2 linked regions of the Caenorhabditis elegans genome follow. The protein of the gene in region 2 interacts with the protein of the main gene of each other region in a pairwise test. Each region holds a gene or a part of one and is shown on either strand. Other genes may lie near its edges.

The links.
Region 1: the proteins of crim-1 (region 2) and Y69H2.10 interact in a two-hybrid assay, tested with the Caenorhabditis elegans proteins (2 studies listed by BioGRID).

The regions. Positions count from the first base shown.
Region 1 is NC_003283.11:18,668,556-18,676,359, reverse strand, and holds Y69H2.10 (TIL domain-containing protein), read right to left. Parts: upstream 6,037-7,804; coding exon 5,955-6,036; intron 5,088-5,954; exon of another isoform or gene 5,021-5,087; intron 5,011-5,020; coding exon 4,228-5,010; intron 4,179-4,227; coding exon 4,002-4,178; intron 1,952-4,001; coding exon 1,856-1,951; intron 1,798-1,855; coding exon 1,523-1,797; intron 690-1,522; coding exon 554-689; intron 511-553; coding exon 341-510; 3' UTR 241-340; downstream 1-240.
Region 2 is NC_003283.11:10,329,083-10,333,785, reverse strand, and holds the start of crim-1 (Cysteine-rich motor neuron 1 protein-like), read left to right. Parts: upstream 1-1,673; 5' UTR 1,674-1,741; coding exon 1,742-1,900; intron 1,901-2,598; coding exon 2,599-2,707; intron 2,708-2,949; exon of another isoform or gene 2,950-3,089; intron 3,090-4,532; exon of another isoform or gene 4,533-4,535; coding exon of another isoform or gene 4,536-4,605; intron 4,606-4,703.

The sequences.
Region 1 (7,804 bases), 8.3 Mb from region 2:
GAATTGCGTCAAGGCACTAGAATTGCGTCATGGCACTAGAATTGCGCCAAAGCATTTGATTTGCGTCAAGGCACTAAAAATGCGCCAAGGAAATAGAATAGCGTCAAGGCACTAGAGTTGCGTCAAGGCACTAGAATTGCGCCAAGGCACTAGAATTTCGCCAAGGCACTTAAAGTGCGCCAGGAAAAATCATTATTCAAGTTTTCGAGTAATTCGACTACGAGAATTTCAAATTTTCCATTTATTTTGTGGTGCTGAGCACAAGAAAATATTCACCAAAAAATTATTTATACATTTCCAATATCCAAATACACAATTTTCACAGAAAATCAGAGAAATTTCAGAAGCATTTAGCCGTCTCCACACAGAGCCCAGTAGTACTCCTCGAGAACCCATCCAAGCATCCACAGCCACTCCAGCAAGCCTTGCAGCTCGGATTTGCAGTTTGGAAGCACACTTTTTCGCAGTTATGACACTTGGACCACGCCTCGTTGTCACTGCATTTGGTTGCTGGAAATATTGATTTTTCTGGAAATTCTGAGCTCCGACTTACTCCCAAAACATTGCCTGGAATGGACACACTGGCCACTGTCAGAATCTCGCTTGTAAGCTGGCCGGCAAGTGCACCCGGGTAGGCATTTTGCCGGGGCTTTTGTGGTAGCGGTTCCGTTTTTGGCTTCGATACAGAACTGAAATTTTCAAATTTTTAGAAATTAAATTGACTTTCATTGATTTTTCTGGAAATTTATCGATTTTTCTGAAAATTAATCGATTTTTCTGAAAATTTATTGATTTTTCTAAAAATTTATTGATTTTTCTGAAATTTTTTGATGTTTCTGAAAATTTATTGATTTTTCTAAAAATTTATTGATTTTTCTGAAATTTTTTGATTTTTCTGAAAATTTATTGATTTTTCTAAAAATTTATTGATTTTTCTGAAATTTTTTGATTTTTCTGAAAATTTATTGATTTTTTTCACTAATTTAAATTTTAATTTTTCCAAATTCAGAATGCGATTTCTTTCCACATATTAAACGGGTGCTCGATGTTGTTCAATGCTTTGATGTAAAAAATGAAAAATTCACCAAAAAAAGAAAAAAAAATGAAAAAAAAATGAAAAAAAATGAAAAAAAAATGAAAAAAGAATGAAAAAAAATGAAAAAAAAGAGAAAAAAAGAAAAAAGAAAGAAAAAGGAAAAAAAAGGAAAAAAAAGAAAAAAGAAAGAAAAAAAATTTTTTTAAAGAAAAAAGAAAGAAAAAACAATTTTTTTAAAAGAAAAAAGAAAGAAAAAAAATGATAAATTTCTTTTGTTTTTTTCATTTTTTTACATTTTTTTTCATTATTTTTCCATACTTTTTTTATTTTTTTTCACTTTTCGTTATAAATATTCTCTTAGACGTAAAAATTTGTGAAAATTTCGAATTTTTCTGTCTCAAAGCCCAATTTTACGCAAAAAATGAAAAAAAAAAGAACAACAAGGGGAAAAAACGAAAAAAGTGAAAAAAAATGACATATGCTCACCTGATTCGGCACCCCTGAGCACGTTTTCTCACACTCTGGCATACACGCCGTGTAGACTTCAGCGCCAGCACACGAAACACCTTCCGTTACAGTAACCGGGCACTTTGACATGAGCTCACAGACCCCATTGATCCTCACATAACCACGTATGCAGGCACATCCTGACGTGCAGGTGGTCGAGTTCATGCACGGCGGGGACGGTTCTTCACAGGTACCCTCACAGCCCGACTTGCACGCCGAGAACTCCTCGTTGGCGCCCACGCATTTTGGGGCTTCTGGAATGGGTTTTGGGTTTTTTGAGGGGGTGGGGTGTGGGGGGGGGGGGGAACTCACGCTTAAGCTGTATGCATTGGGCAGGTTTTCCCATAGTTTGGAAGCAAATGTCTCCGGGTGAGCACTTGATGCCAAGGCATTCACCGGCGGTGCCGTCTGATAAAATTTTCGATGAACTTTGATTAGTTAGGATTTTTCGATATTTTTCGGTGAAAATCGAATAATCGAAAAATCGAAAAATTTTTGATTTTTCGATTCTCTGGAAAATCGAAAAATAGAAAAAATTGTTCAAAAAGTTTACTATAAAATATGAGTTTTTATCGAATTTTGTTTATATTGATAAGAAAAAAACATCTAAATTTCCTCTAAAAAGAAGAATAACGGCGAAAATATTAAGCTAATTTTTGAAAAATCGAAAATTTTTTCGAAGAATTCGAAAATCGAAAAATCGAAAATTTTTCGTTTTTCGATTTTCTAAAAAAATCGAAAAATCGACACCCTTGGGGTTTCGGGGTAATTTCGGGTGGAGAATTCGAATTTTCACTCAATTTTTCAAAAATTTTTGTTTGAAGAACTGAAAAAAAAAACTTTCCCATTGTGACTTGGCCCAAACATCAAATTTTCGCAAAATTAATGTTAAATTCGAATTCCCCATGGTAAATTACCCCGAAACCGCAGTTTTCAGAATTTTAGCGCAAAATTCCGTCAAATTTGGTGCCGGGTTCGCAAACACCATGCTACAGTAACCCAAAACACCGGATTTGACGACATTTTGTACTAGAGCTCTGAAAATCGGGGCTCAGGGGTAATTTTTGGTGGGGAATCCGAATTTCGACTTGAAAATCTAAAATTTTGGGGATTTTGTCTAAATGCACTTAAAATGATCAAAAACGACCGAATATCATAATAAAACACTCTAAAAAATTTTCGATTTTTCATAATTTCCGGTCAAAGTTTTGGCAAATGGCCAAAATTTTGAAAAAAACGAGCATTTGAGAAAATTTAAAGAAATATCACATGTCTCGACCATGAGTGGCAAAAACTGAGTAATTGCCACTTTTTGACAAAAAAAAATTTTCTAAATTTTATATGATTTTTTGAAAAATGAAAAAATCTCGAATTGCATCAAATTCCCATTTGAATTACGCGCCAATAGTTTGATGTTCGATGGAGCGCGCTTGCATCATTTTTAAATATTTATTCATCAATTTTTCACATTTTTGACTGATTTTTTCGTGTTTTTTCGCGTAATTTCACTGAAATTCAGTGAAAAATTTAAGATAAATGCAAATTCTTTATTAAAAAGTGGAGATGAAGGCTCAATGTCATTGGAAAACGTTCTTTCTCTGTTTTTCACTGATTTTTAGTGAACAATTTGCATTTATCTCACATTTTTCACTGTGTTTCAGTAAAATTATGCAAAAAAACATGAAAAATCAATCAAAAATGTGAAAAATTGAAAAATAAAAATTAAACAATGACAAGCGCGCTCCATCGAACTTTTCAGAAAATTTTAAAATTTTAAACCTATTAAAATAAGCGCGCCAAAAGCTTCAAAATTAATATATAATCATGACTAGGTTCTGAAAACTTGGATTTTTCCAAAATTTTGGGTCTCGCCGCGAAAATGAAACAAGCTACCATAACTTGCACAGTTTTGCTGCGAATTTCAAAATTTTTAAATTATGAAAATGAGCGCGTCAAGAGCTTCAAAATAAGTATACTGATGACTAGGTTCTAGAAATTTTGGAATTTCCAAAATTTTGGGTCCCACCACGAAAACGGAAAAGTTACTGTAACTCGCACAGTTTTGATGCGAATTTAAAAATTTTTAAATTATGAAAATAAGCGCGTCGAGAGCTTTAAAATAACTTTAAAATAAATACTCATGACTAGGTTCTAGGAATTTTTGAATTTTCAAAATTTTTCGTCCCACCACGATAACCTAAAACTGGCGCAAATTTTAAAAATTTTCAAATACTCAGATTTAGTTGACTTCAAGCAACTCAAAAACTATTGGCGCGTAATACAAATGGGAATTTGATGCAATTCGAGATTTTTTCAATTTTCAAAAAACCATATAAAATTTTGAAATTTTTTTGAAATTTTCTTACTATGATTTTCGGTCGTTGTAGTACCATAGGCATGTTTTAAAGCAATTTTCCCCACTGGCCCTACCCTCCAGCACTCCTACAGTACCCCTTACCCAGTTTGGTATAACAAGTGTAGGCGTTGCTAGTGACGTTATCAAAGCACTTCATGCCCACTTGACACGGCTCATCAATACAGTAACGGCGATCCGGGAGCCGTGGGATGCAGGTCTGTGTCGAGTTTAGTGGCGACGCGCAGACCTGCGTAGAGGTACATGTAGCGGATCCGCAGGCTGGAAAAAGAGAAGCTTGAAGCCTAAAATATAATCGTCCAAGCCTTACCAGTACTGGGGGCCGCAGGTGGCTTGGTTGTAGTGCCCATTGATGGCGGATTGGTGATCGGAAGCAATGTGGGGAGCCCGGTGAGATTCACTGGAGCCATCGTCGGGAGTCCTAGGATGGTTAGGTTCATTGGGGACATGGTAGGCAGTGCGGGTAGGCTTAGGTTCAGTGGAGCAAAAGTTGGCATGGTGCCAAGTCCCAGGTGGCTCAGGTTCAACGGGGCCATTGTAGGAAGGCTGGGGAGCTCGGGGAGACTGAGATTCAGTGGAGCAAAAGTTGGCATCGTGCCAAGACCTAAATGGCTCAGGTTTAGTGGAGCCATCGTAGGAAGCCCTGGGAAGCTCAGGTTCAGTGGTGCAAAAGTTGGCATGGTGCCAAGTCCCAGGTGGCTTAGATTGAACGGAGCAAGGGTAGGTAGCGTGAAGTTGGATAGATCGCCTAGCACCAGGGGAGCAAATGTTGGCATGGTTGGAAGTGTGAAATTCATGAAATTTGGCAGACTCAGATTCAGCGGAGCCATTGTTGGAAGCCCCGGGAAACTAAGGTTCAGTGGGGCAAAAGTTGGAAGGGTAAAGTTCCCGAAGCCTGGCAGCGTGCCAAGTGTAGGTAGGGTGAAATTTCCAAGGCCAGGAATTGGACCAAATGTGGGTGGTGGTACTGGCGCCATTGGGTTCAGCGTTGGTACGGTGAAGTTCGGAAATACCAGCGGTGGGAACAGTGTTGGAAGGGTCTCATTTCCATATGGGGATACTGTTGGGGCGGGGGGTGTTGTTGGTAGGGGGTCTGAAATTAGAATTTTTGAATTCAGCAGAGCGAGAGCTTTCGAATAAGTATAATCATGACTAGGTTCTAGAAATTTTGGAATTTTCAAAATTTTGGGTCTCGCCACGAAAATGTAAAAAGCTGCCGTAACTTGCACAGTTTTGGGGCGAATTTTAAAATTTTAAAACTATTAAAATTAGCGCGCCAAAAGCTTCAAAATGAGTATAATCATGACTAGGTTCTGAAAACTTGGATTTTTCCAAAATTTTGGGTCTCGCCGCAAAAATGAAACAAGCTACCATAACTTGCACAGTTTTGCTGCGAATTTCAAAATTTTTAAATTATGAAAATGAGCGCGTCAAGAGCTTCAAAATAAGTATACTGATGAAACAAGCTACCATAACTCGCACAGTTTTGATGCGAATTTAAAAATTTAAAAATTATTAAAATAAGCGCGCCAAGAGCTTTAAAATGAGAATAATCATGACTAGGTTCTCGAAATTTTGGAATTTTCAAAATTTTGGGTCTCACCACGAAAACTTGAAGGGGGCCGCAACTCGCACAGTTTTGCTGCGAATTCCAAAATTTTTAAATTATGAAAATGAGCGCGTCGAGAGCTTTAAAATAAGTATACTCATGACTAGGTTCTAGGAATTTTTGAATTTTCAAAATTTTTGGTCCCACCACGATAACCTGGTGCAAATTTTAAAAATGTTCAAATACTCAGATTTAGTTCACTTCAAGCAACTTGAAAAAAAAAGTATGATTATGACTAGAATCTAACGAATTGGAAATTTGGGTCCCGCCACGACTTTATAGGGACGTAGAGGCCAACATTTTCAAAATAATCGGAATATAGTCATGATTATACGTGTTTGAAAACTAATAATGAGCTGAATTCAAATTTTCACAAATTTAAGTTTAAAAATCATAAATTTTCAAGAAAGGTCAACAAAAAAACCCACCACTTCCCGTCGATTTTTCTGGAAAACCGATCAAAATAGCGCATAAATACAGTAACCCTAGCAATGATGTTTTTGTGAACATATTACCAATGTCAAATGACATCAAAATATGTTATTTTATAGTAATTCGAGGTTTAGACCAACAGTTAAGCCGATAGGGAGAGAGGTTTGGTGGTCGTAAATTGGAAAAACAAACGGCGATGGGGGGATTTCAGAGATTTTCATCGTGATTTGTACTTTTCTGAGGGTGTAGTTTGACGAAATTGTTGAAAATTTTGAAATTCCACATTTTAGGGGAGTTTCAGAAAAAAAAAAAAAAAATTTTTTCAAAATTCTCAAAAAAAAAATTTTTTTCAAAATTTTTTTCTGCTATTTTTATTCAAATTATATTTATAAGCAGTTATCTGATTATTTTTCCAGTCATAAGATTTCATTTTTGCCCACTTTGCACCTCAATTTTTGATTTTTTTTTTCTTTTTTATGTTTGTAAATATTTGCTGTGTATTTAGTTTTTGATTGATTTTTCTTGTTTGCTTGGTAATTAGAACTGTTTTTTTTTACTTCCTGATGTCTATTTCTGTAACTTCGGTGCAAGTTTACCTGAGGAACTAGATTTTAGCCGGCTTTTCAAGCCTGAGGGGGGGGGGGGGGGGGGAATCGACAACACCCACCAAATGCTCGACTTCTAAAAAGTGGCAAATTTTTGTAGTTAAAAACTGGTTGGCTTATGAAAACTTACGATTTTTGTGTGGATTTGCATGAATAAGCATTCTTTGAAAATTTGAGAAAAAAATATCAGAAAATTCAAAAAATTTTTTGAAAATCGCAGAATTTTTTTTTTCAAAAATCTCAAAAAAAAATTGATTTCCAAAAATTTTAGTTTTACTACATTTTATGTTGTTTAACTATATACATTCTTGTTGTAACATCAACTTTGTCTTTTTATACCTAAAAGGGCCACAATTTCCAAATACACCAGCCTAAAAGAAAGCGACAACACCGATTGCTCGAGTGCCAAATTTAGTCAGTGTACTACTAATTTGTCAAGAAAATTAATCTTAATTTTAGTGTGAACTAAAACTAATATAAATATTTCAAAATTTGAGAATAAAAATTCAGAAAATTGGAAAAAAACGTTTTATTTCTCAAAAAAAAAATTTTTTTTTCAAAATTATCCAAAAAAAAAAATTTATTCATTAAATTTTGCAAATCATAATTTATCATTGCCTCGCTATAATTAAAAGTGCTGTATTCTGAAGAATCCAGGTCAATGGAAATTGATAACACCAATTGCTCACTGTCTAAAAAGAGCCGAATTTTGGCCGTTAACTACTGATTTGTCGAGAAAATTGTACATAATCTCTATGTCATAATGTGTTACATAATGTCAAACTAATAGAAATAGTTCAAAACTTGAAAAAAAAATTCCAAAAACTCAAAAAAAAAATTTTTTTTGAAATTGCAAGAAAAAAATTTCAAAAATCTTTAAAAAAAAATTGTATTTCCAAATTTTCTGTTTTACTATACTATACTTTTTTTTAAAACTTTATATGACTGTTATATCATTTTCTGTCCGTTTCTAGCTGAAAAGGTCACACATAATTCCCAACTAAACCAGCCTATGTAAAAGAAAGCGACAACACAAATTGCTCGTTCTCAAAAAACTGCTCAATTTTTAGAGATAACTACCAGTATGTTAAGAACATTGTACTTAACTTTTGTGTAAATTCAAACTATTACAAAAATACTGAAATTTGAAAAAAATAACAGTTTTTCAAAAAAATATTTTTTTTCGAAAAGTTAACAAAACATTTTTTTTCAAAATGTTCAAAAAAAATATTTTGCAATAT
Region 2 (4,703 bases):
CATTCCGTTCCACTCTTTCTCCTCTATCTCTGAAATTCCTCTTCTAATATTTTTACACCCTCACTAATAACAAAACACCTCTCCTTCTTTACCATACATTCATCTCATTTTCTATCTTTTATCACACCGTTCCTTACCGGTTTCTTATTTGAGGCAGCATGTATTTCAATGAGACCTCCATGAGACGTTTTTTTACCTTTTCCCGTCTAGACCCGCATAATCTAAATGGTTTCAATGTTTCCTTTTCCATCTCTCATCGACTCGTTTTTTGTCTATTTTCTTGTCCTCGTTCACTCAAGTTGATAAGAGCATTTTGAACACATAAAAAATTTACTATGGCCTAAACCAGGCGATTTTTATTGAGTTTTCATAAGAATCGTTTTTTGTGGAACATTGTGTACTTTTTTAAAGTTAAAGAAGTATTATTTCAAATTTAATACGATTTGAATGCTCTTCGATCATTCGGCTGATTGGCATGTCTTCCTAATTAATTGGAAACTTCTCAATAGAATACCACAAAATATAGCACTACCCTTATTGATATACTTTAAGAAACTATTTCTAGGTTTTCTTCGGCTTAAAAATGTAGCACATAAATTTGGTGCCAATTACTTTTTGATATTTTAGTATTGACAAAATTTGTGATAATACCAAGGATAACCAAATATGAGCTGCCAAGATAGAGCATTAAATGTACAAGGCTAATAGGGAAAGTACCGTAATCTTTTTGTAAGGTTGACACGCTTAGCGACCAGTTTTCTGTGTGTTTTTCAGGGTTTCATTTTCTCCAGATTTCAAATATTCCAGGTTTCCTGCTCCTCAATATTCTTTTTTTCTGCATTTCAAACGGTAAATTCTTTAGTGAACGTTGAAGATAATTCCGGAATCATTTGAAAGTTGAATTCTTCAAATGAACATTTTGCACGAGACGTAATAGTTTTATCAGTAATAAAATCACTTGTTATTTTTGAAAACTAGATAACTTCTCTTCTCTTGAAAAACTGTGGAATAAAACAAATAGTTAAGTAAAAACTGTTCTTTTGAGTAGGTAGCATAGGAACATCCACCTATTTTTTTTTGTTTGATCTGGTTCTAGTTTCTAAAGTAAACATGAATAAACTTAGAATCTTTGATGAAAGTCATTATCAATGTTATAACACGGAACTAGGTCTCCTTTGTCAAATGAACTGAGTGTTTCTTCTTAATTATGTTGTTGTTTCTTTCTATTGAATTGCAAAACAAAGTGTTCTAATCCATCGGGCGCCAGTTCGGTATACTACGAGCTTCTGCTACCATCTTTCTGTCTCCGCGCACCTTCATCATTTTGTCTTTCGCCCAATGTCAACAGACCTTTTTTCGTCTCCCTGCTTGCTCGCTTGTGTTCTTTCTCTTTGACAGTGCAGCTTCTTCACCGATCGACTCGGATCACTTTCGTTGTCTATAACCTCTCTGATTCTTGTGCTTTACCGTCGTGAAGATCCCGCGCAGTTCGATTTTCAAAGGCGGGGCCTGCACAGACACAGTTCATTTCAAATTGGGACACTACGAGACGGTCTCTCTGTTTCTCGTTTTACTTACTTTTTCATTTGAATTGAAATCTTAGTTACATGGTCCCAAAAAAATCGACAAAAAATTTATATACATGACTACAATTTTCATATTTTTCTTTGCAGAGCTTGTGGGCCGTTCATCACGCGGCTTCTCCGCTGAACGGCAAAAACGGTTATGCAGAATTGTTGAAATGCAGTGGTCAAGTAGTATTATTTTACTCTTCACATTTCTTATCATTTCCAATGCAAAAAACCAAAAGACCACATTGTGCGGGACATGTGACAAGGATTCATGTCCAGATGTTTCAGGATGCGAGCAATTGAAAAAGGATCAGTGCGATTGCTGCGAAGTGAGTAATTTAAAATTTTGATAGAAAACGAACTATGGTTTAACAATTCTTTAAAACTTATTTTTAAAATTAATTTTAATATTCTAGTTCCTCAGTTTTAATTTTCTTTTTAAAATTCCAGAACATTGAATGTGAGCTTTTGAAATAATTTTCCACAATTTCTCATGACTAAAATTCTAACTATTATCATAAATCCCCAATAACTTAATTATTATTGGACAATGATCAAATGAACAAATGAAAGGATCAAATGCTCAGTGAAACAACTGAATAAAGATGAGCTTTAATGTATTATGCTACACAGTCAAATCAGTACCAAAACGAAGAACCGTTTGATAGAAACGCATAATTCAGATACCGTGTATCCTCTTAGAGCTCTTATTCCTCTTATTCCTATAATGAAATTGCACATAGATAGGTTCCCGATAATTAGTACTTTTTTTACTAATAGAGGAAACACGGTACATTAAAAATAATCCTAATTGCTTTGAAAGTGGTTCAACTTTCTAAGTTTCAAATGATAATAACTGTCCCTTAAATCTTACTTTCGGTTTTTAAACCGCGGTTTTAGTTATAATTTTGTTTCTACAAAAAGAAATACACTGAATAAACTTAAACATAAGTCAAAAGTCTATAAAAAAGTATGTGCGGTCTTTTTTAACGGCTTTCAAACAATAAACAAAAAGTTATACTTGCAGGTCTGCATTCGACAAATCGGTGAAACTTGCGACGGGCCTGGTCTTGTTTGTGATTCGCATCTTTCATGTCATCAGGAAAACGATCTTGATGGTTCAAGTCGATGTAAAGGTATATTTTCTTCAATATTTCAAAGTCCCTTTGCATGTTTCATTCGATTTGAAAGAACTTTGGTTGTTTTTTCGAGGTCCAGAATGCTTCCTAATTAAAAAGAAAAGGGTGCTCTAGAGTTACTATTGGGCTTATTTTATTGCTGAAATTTGATAGGGTTTCTTCTCAGTCTCTCTATCTCTCTCTCTCTTTCATTTTCTCTTCCTATAAAAAATGACTTCTCAAAATGGTGGCGGTTCTCTTGTGCTGAGGCTTCTCGTGTGTGCTCGCCGGACGACGCAATCCACCCTGCTCTCCCGAATATACAATTTCTATTTACTTTACTTCACTCTGCCCGCAGTTTTTTAACCAAAAAGTCCTCTATGTTGTGTCCGCAGATAGGGCGGCTTGCAAAGGTAGAAAATGGGTTGGACTAACTTGAGAATTGAAACGATCTTGTTGTGGATAAAAAATCGGACAATGTAGGCAATGGGGATATCAAGTAATTGAAATATTGCAAGGATTCTGAGCATACCAAAACTTGAATGTTGTTAAAAAATACTTAGATTGTTCAAAAATAAATTGTTTTTATCAATTTCTTTCAAGATCTAGAAAAGGAGTGAGCTAGAAAATTCTTGATTGCGGCATGTTGTTCCAATGTTTGGTAATTGGAAGATTTTAAGCCATCATTAAGCACCTCCCAACTCCTTTAACTCAAAATGAAAAGTTTATAGATTATTAAAACATTTTCTACATTTTTACTGAAATATAATGGAACAACGAGCCACGATCGGCCTTGTTGTAGAATTTCCGTCTCAACCTGATCTCGAATTATTTTATGCTCAAGCACATTTGGTTTTGTCTGGATTTTCAGTTCAAAAATGTACTCCTTCCTGTATTTGTCTATTCCGTGTTGTTTCGTTCAAGATGCCATCAAACTTTAATTCAATTTTCGAATTATGATTGCATAGGAAACAGAAAATTTCAAAAAAAAAAAACGGAACGAATGACTAACCAATTGCGCGACACCGAAAAAGAACAGAGTTTCGAGAAGTGTCTAACCTCTGTCTCCCTCAATTGACTCCGCCTACTTTGTCTTCAAGTGTTGCATAGAGTTGGCCATATGCGGGACGACGTAAATCATTTCGATAATTTTTTTACGGAAAGAAGAGCTTGGTGTCTTGGAGATTAGTAATGGTTAAGCTTCTTTTCATGAAATTTTTTTTTCTATTTTTGTCATCGGCAAATCTTTCTGCTTCTCATTTGAATTTGAAAATGTCTTAGTATATATCAAAAATTATGTGTACATACTTTGAAATTTCAAAATGGCTATTCCCGACATTTCTGTGCTTAAATAACAAGGAAAAATCAGAAAAATTTGATATACAAAAATTATTTTCAACAAATAAAAATAAACTTGTTTGAAACTTCAAAATAAAAATGCCTTTCATTATTTTCTATATTAACTGCAATGAATTTGGTTTCACTATGTAATATCTGTTGTTTCAATTTAGACAAACCGAATCCATTGCTTATAATGTATAAATTGTACTTTGTTTTTCTGCATATTGTAACTTGCCACTTCCATAAAACGCCTTTCATCGTAATGTGTACCAGTTGATTTTTGCTTTGAAATGCATAAAAATGGTTCATATGCCTTGACCAACTTGAAATTGACCCTGTCATCTGCAACTTTTTTGTTCTTCAGTCATCACCAAGTATCTTCTCGGTGTCCACCTGATCAGATGTTCTCATGTTTTCAAATCCTTCTTTCTTTTTTCCATGTGATTTTTGTGTATTTTTGTGCTCTAATCCTCTTTCTCCTACTCACTATATTTACAGCTCGAGAATGCAACTAGTCGTCTGCGTCTTTCTACTTCTCTTCTCATTTGTCAATTTTCTCCGAACGGAGCAATCAGGTGTGCTAGAAGGCATTCTCTTCTTGAACAGATATTGTCAAAAAGAAATTAATAGAGTCAAAATAAGTGACAAAGGGGGTGATGGCGGTAACCACAGA